2 linked regions of the Neurospora crassa OR74A genome follow. The protein of the gene in region 1 interacts with the protein of each later gene in a pairwise test. Links are inferred from orthologs where the notes say so. Each region holds a gene or a part of one and is shown on either strand. Other genes may lie near its edges.

Evidence for each region.
Region 2: the proteins of NCU01323 (region 1) and NCU04581 interact in binary tests that used the Saccharomyces cerevisiae proteins (3 or more experiments, as listed by UniProt). The link is inferred for Neurospora crassa OR74A from reciprocal best matches to the Saccharomyces cerevisiae genes SMC1 and KAR3.

Annotation. Positions count from the first base shown.
Region 1 is NC_026505.1:3,656,662-3,658,978, reverse strand, and holds the end of NCU01323 (cohesin complex subunit), read left to right. Parts: coding exon 1-1,530; intron 1,531-1,604; coding exon 1,605-1,622; 3' UTR 1,623-1,817; downstream 1,818-2,317. UniProt on the Saccharomyces cerevisiae protein: Involved in chromosome cohesion during cell cycle and in DNA repair. Central component of cohesin complex. The cohesin complex is required for the cohesion of sister chromatids after DNA replication.
Region 2 is NC_026505.1:1,612,523-1,616,591, reverse strand, and holds the start of NCU04581 (kinesin), read left to right. Parts: upstream 1-1,269; 5' UTR 1,270-1,446; coding exon 1,447-1,482; intron 1,483-1,590; coding exon 1,591-1,756; intron 1,757-1,880; coding exon 1,881-2,026; intron 2,027-2,240; coding exon 2,241-2,526; intron 2,527-3,045; coding exon 3,046-3,171; intron 3,172-3,221; coding exon 3,222-4,069. Other genes in the region: NCU04580 (vacuolar protein sorting protein Vps66), read left to right, coding at 1-372. UniProt on the Saccharomyces cerevisiae protein: Minus end-directed microtubule (MT) motor involved in spindle midzone assembly, poleward transport of newly captured kinetochores along the lateral side of MTs, karyogamy (nuclear fusion) during mating, and with an essential function in meiosis I.

The DNA.
Region 1 (2,317 bases):
GAAGGTGAACTGGCCGCCTTTGAGAAGAACCTCAAGAGCAAACAGAAAGAGCTCGATCATCAGGAGCGGCAGCTGGACGACTACGAGCCCAAGTATGAGGAAAAGCACGGCGAGCTGGAGCGGACGCGGGCAACGGTACAGAAGTTCGAAAAAGCCATCTCAGACGTCGAGGATAAGATCTTTAAAGATTTCTGCAAGAGACTGGGCTACGAGAACGTCCGTGCCTACGAAGCCCAGCAGGGCACTTTGGAACAAGAAGCTGCCCAGAAGCGGCAAGACTTTGATATCCAAAAACAACGCATCCAGAGCAACATCACATGGGAAATGTCACAGCACACGGCGACCAGCGACAGGATAGCCTCACTAGAACGGACCCTACAACGGCATGAACGAGATCTCGATACATATCGACAAGAGAAAGCATCGATCGAAGAGGAACTGGCGGAAGACCGGGAGGCGCTCGAGGAGCTTGAGCAGAGTCTAGAAGAGCTCAAGGTCTCCCACGCAGAAAAGACCAAGAAGGTCCAGGAGGCCAAGCAAGACCTACAGAGGAGGAGCAGAGACATAGAAGTCAGGTTGAAGGAGATCAGCAATCTGGAGGCTACAGTTCAGCAGAGTAGTGCTCAAAAGCTTGCCCTGCTCAGGAGATGCAAGCTTGAGCAGATCCAAATTCCTCTTCAACAAGGCTCTCTTGACGACATTCCAAACGAGGACATGTTACTCCAGAAGGACCAGGATGCCATGGATGTTGATGGCGAGGATGAAGACCAGGAAGCCGAGCTTCTCGAAGCTGCCATGGACGACTACGGTGTCGAAATCAATTACGACAACCTCGATGACGCACTACTTCAAGACCCGAACGACGAAGTCGAAGAGAAGCTGCAAGAAAAGATCTCGGCCCTCACCGCCGAGATCGAGAAGCTCAACCCCAACATGCGCGCCATCGAGCGTCTCGAGTCGGTCAAGTCGCGCCTTGAGTCCACAGAAAAGGACTTTGAGGACTCGCGCGCCGCCCTCAAGGCGGCACGGGATGCCTTCAACCAGGTCAAGGACAAGCGGTTCGAGCTCTTCAACAAGGCCTTTACGCACATTCAGGAGCAGATCACGCACGTGTACAAGGACCTCACACGCTCAGACGCCTATCCGCTCGGTGGGCAGGCGTACCTGGATATCGAGGAGGACACGGACACCCCCTACCTGTCGGGCATCAAGTACCACGCCATGCCGCCGCTCAAGCGGTTCCGCGACATGGAGCACCTGTCGGGCGGTGAGAAAACCATGGCGGCGCTGGCGCTGCTGTTTGCGATCCACAGTTACCAGCCGTCGCCCTTTTTCGTGCTGGACGAGGTGGACGCGGCGCTGGATAATGCCAATGTGGAGAAGATCAAGAAGTACATCCGCGAGCATGCGGGTCCTGGAATGCAATTTATCGTCATCAGTCTCAAGGCTGGGTTGTTTCAGGATAGCGAGAGCTTGGTGGGCGTTTATCGCGATCAGGACGTGAATAGCTCCAAGACTTTGACGTTGGACGTGAGTTTCTCCCCCCCCTTCTTGTTGTTGCTAACCATTTGAGGATCGTATACTAACATGGAATATCACTACAGCTTCGCAAGTACAACTAAGTAGTCATTGGTAGTGGAGGGCTCCGTGTAATGCCATGTTATGTGTGTGAACTGGGTGAAACCACTTCGGGCGGGCGGGCGGGCAGTGTAAACAAATCGATCGGAAGGAGTTCAAAGGAAGGTACCATCAATCAAGTATACTTAAAGGGTAGCTCAACTGCATAATGGTTTCAAGTATAGATGTGCTTTCTCGCGCTTTTAGTCTGTTCCTTTCAATGACCCCCCTTTGCCTCCCATCCTCATTTCGTGGTATCTTTCTGCTTGTGTTCATCAGGTATGTGCTGCATTCGTTCGTCTATGTACAAATTCGTTGTGCTCAAGGGATAGAAGCAAAGCAATGACGGGTCCTTCTGTCTCCAAAGTGGGAGCTTCAAACCTCGAGTTCCACTTCCTTCTCTATATAATTTATGAAGTTTTCCTTTCGTGTGAAGGAAGTAACCATGCCCACTCGGTAGATTTCCCCCCCCCCCCCCCCCCCTACCCCAATTCCCGGATGCTTCAGATCTCTAATGTTTAAAGGAGCAGTAGCTGTTCCCACGTGTTTCTCATATCCCTCTTTGACGCATGCTTGGTTGCTTTTTTTTTGGCTGTGCGTATCATACCCAATCTTATCTGCCGTAAAACCAGTCTGTGGTAGTTTGTGGTTCCGTGCGGTGATTTAAACGTCCAAGGACCGCATGAGGCGACTCTATGGC
Region 2 (4,069 bases), about 2.0 Mb from region 1:
ACGCAGATCTTCCCGCTCAGCTTGCGGTATACCCCCGTTGACGACACCACCCCGGTTCCTGGGGGAGTGAAGGTGTGGTTGAGCTTTCTGTGGAAGTTGCTGGCTAGGCCGACGCACTGTATCAGGATTCGCATTGGCGAGGGGCTGGTTAATACCGTAGGGGCTAGCAATGGTGTTTCACATGGGGAGAGCTCGGGGGTGGATGTCCGCGAAAGGCAAGAGGGAGGGGATGGAGAGTTGACGGCCGAGGAGCAGAGGCTTTTGGATAAGGTGGCGGAGACGTTGGCGAGGTTGGGTAGGGCGAAGAGAGTTGGGTTGACTGTGGAGGACAAGAAGAACTTTGTGAAGGCTTGGGAGAAGAGGAGGAGGTAGATGGTGTGGGATGGAGGAAAAGGGATTGAGGTATATATGAGGGGTTTGGGAGAACGGTTAATGAGGTTAATGAGGATGATTTGGTTTCACTCGTCAGGGATAGAAATCTCTCTGACGTGTAGTTGGACATTGAATCGCGCGTAGGAGCTGTCATCTTTTAACTGCGCACAGGATACTCCAGCATTCATGACTGATATAACACACCAGATCACAGTGACGGTAGAATAGGAGAAGTACTAAGATGCGTTGCCCTGAAGTAGGCAGATGTTGGCGAGATTATATGGTCATCGTTCAAGACTCTCGACCAGTGAGGGAACATCTCAAAACGTCCAAAGCGTTGTTTGGCTTGCCCGCTGAACCAACATGTAAAGAACCACTGCATGCTGGCCCAAGAAAGGAATATGGGCCTACAAAGTGCTTTGTTTTTCGGGGTACGCGATGGATGCATGAGCGAGATAGGCGAGCTTTACCTGAGTCTGGACATCGTGGTGTCCAAAACCATTGTCTTCGAAACATGAGAGTATCGGCTTGTAACATTTCCCGTCCTAATAACCTATGTGAAGCAGGATTAGAACCAATCAGAGTATTGAAACAGAATCGGACACTTGTCGAAGATTCTGTGATAAAAGGTTGTGGCTGTTTAGTGCAAGAAACATTGCAAGGTCGGGACAATGAAGACCGAAAGGAGAGCAGATGTCTTGGCGCTGCAGAGAATGGTCTAGCGCAAGGAACAAGCAGGTACGTACCGTCCCGTGGCCTAAGATGGCACCTGCACACTGTGGGCCCCGCTCGCCCGCTTGGTCGAGGTCGAACGATTGGACATAGCGCTGGGAGAAATGGTTGCCGTGGTGAAGTAAACAAAGCGATGCAGGGCCAGGACCGGGCCCAACTCGCAAGTGGAAGTCCCACTCAACCGCCGCTTGTACGCCAATCGACGCTCTGGAGCCGGCACGCCGTCGCTGAAGGCGCATGACTAGGTACTGAACGACTTTCACAACGGCGCCATCACTATCCTCGACATCTGGGGCGTTGCTGCTCGGCTCGTGTGTGCTGGTGAACAACATCATCCCTCGCATGCGCACGCTCGCCATGGAGAGCTCCGAGAACAGGGTACGTATCACAGCTGTCTAAAACACTTCGTTGTGTCTTGATTGTTCCATCATTTCCCTACTGCGATAAGATGGAGAAGCAGGGCAGCCCGCTTATCGAAAATTGTAGAACGCCCTTAACCCAGCCTCGACCAAGTTGCGACTTCCAACCACCTACGCCGCCACGGCCACCGCGACTGCTCCCACCGGCCTCAAAGAGATCTCCGACTCCCAGAGCAACGCGCGAGCGCAAATGTCGTCCATACCCACGAAGCGCGCCGCAAACGACAGCGGTGGTAAGACATCCCCTCCACCTGCTTCGTCTTGTTTACCAGCTAGATCAAACACCCACCACATACATCATGGCTTTGTCCATGCCATTGTCCATGGCCTCGATGGCTAACACGCCATGTTCTTCAGTCGCCCCGCCTGATGCGAAACGAAAAACCCTCGCCGAGAGGGCCGGCGAGCCTATCCAGCCAAAGTCCCATTTACCAGCGCCAACGCCCACCAGCGCCTTTCTCACAGGCACCATATCCGGCGCATCAATCGTTCAGTTGGCTAATGTAGGTCCAACCTCCGCCCATCAGCACCATACATTCTGAGTCTTGTTTGCCATCTTCAAATTGATTTTACGACAAGCCCGGCCACCTTCCACAACACAAATCCCATACTGTCGCGTGACACACCGTTTCCCGGTGCTTTCGAAGGATGGCCACTGTGGGATCAATTATGCGCGTCGATATGGCTTAGGTCAGTTCTGACTTGATGTCTCTCTAGGCCCGAAATGCGAACAAAACGACGGCAACGGCGCTCCCGCGCGCAAGCTCGGCGACTGGTCATCGGCCAACTTACTCCTCGACAAACCCATCCAGCTTCACAAAGAGTTTGGGTCCTTCAAGCCGACCACCTGTAACAGGATTACGACAACCCAGCTTCAACCAGCCCACAAATCGATCGCGATCCATTTCCAAGCCACGACCAGCAACATCGATGAGCGGCCATGGACCTTCGAGAGACGTTAGCGTAGCGCCTTCACAGCCGGCGCCTACCCAGCCGCCTAATGGTACGGAATTTCTATCTTCTATACCCGTCCCCGGACCCAAAGTCAAGCCTAAGAAGACACGGGGATCTCCTTCACCACGATACTCAACGTCGGGTAAAGAGCAAGAGAAGGAAAGGGCTGTTTCGGGTCTGAGCAGGCGCCTGCAGGACTTGTCGATCTGTGATGAGAAGGAGAACATCCCCAGCGGGAGTCAAGTGACGCCTCGAAAGACTTCGCAGCCCGCCTCCCAAGCGTCTTAGTCGGATGCTAAGGCGGAGCCTGCTAGAAGACCCAGACGAAGAACCGAAGGAGCCGTACCCGCACGACGCAAGTCCTCTCTCCAACAGTCGACAACGGCGTACCCGGAGACCCCTAAAGCAAAGTCAAGATTGGAAGACCCCCGTGCGGCTATGGAGCGTTTCGAGGTCATTCTCAACTCTGCCGTCGTCTCCGCTCACAGAACTGCCTCGACCCGAAAATCCGTTTCACCTGTCAAGCTTTCTTTTCTCACCAAGGATTCTAATAACACCGCATTCACAGGCATTGACGTCGACGAGCGGCTCAACGAGGTTGATGCGGAATGGAAGGTGATGAAGGAGGCTTTCAGCATATCTTTGCAAGACAAGAAGGCCATGGAAACGGCCGTTCAGATGGCAAAGAATCAAGGTACGTGGCAGCAAGTATACAAACACGCCAGGCTGACTGACACCTACTAGTGGACACACTTGAGGCGGAACGACAAAAACTGAACGAGAGAAACGAACTGCTGCAGAAGGAGATGGATGCGTTGCGACAACAGTTCCAACAACTGACCCTCACACTGGAAAGACAGAAGATGGACCATGAATATCAACTTCAGAACAAGTCAAGAGAGCATGAACATGAAGTCCAAGAATTACAGAGAAAGTTGAAACAGGAAAGCGAACGACTGCAACGAATCAACCGCGAGGAAAAGGACGCTTTTGAGAGGCAATGTCGGGCAGATCTGGAGGGTGAAAAGGCAAAGGCGGCAAAGGAGGTCCAAGACTTGCGGCTGAAGCTTGGGGCAGAACAGCAGGATATCAACAAATCGCTCTTGGAGAAAGAACGAGAACTACGGCAACTGCAATCTCAACTGGACGATCTGCGGTCAGAACTGAGCCAAGAGCAAAAAAACAAAAGGGCGTTGCAGGAACAGATCAATGAGATGGCGACAACAAATGGGAAACTGGAAGCCCGGAACCAAGGACTTCGGGCGCAGATTGACTTCCTTGAATCTGATAGCAAGCAACAGTCGGATTCGTTTGCACAGATGGAGGCACGGCTTCGGGAGGCCCTGGAAATCGCGGAGAACGCCAAACAGAAGCTCATCAAGGAGGAGACGGAGAGGCGGATATTGTTCAACAAGTACCAGGAGCTCAAAGGCAATATCCGGGTCATGTGCAGAGTCCGTCCTGCACTCGGCAAATCCGAAGGCAGCGAGGCCAAGATTATGTTCCCCGACGCCAAAACGTCGTCCGCACAGATTGAAGTGACCGGGCTCGAGGAAAAGAGTAGCTTTGGAAACATCAACCGCAAGGTGCTC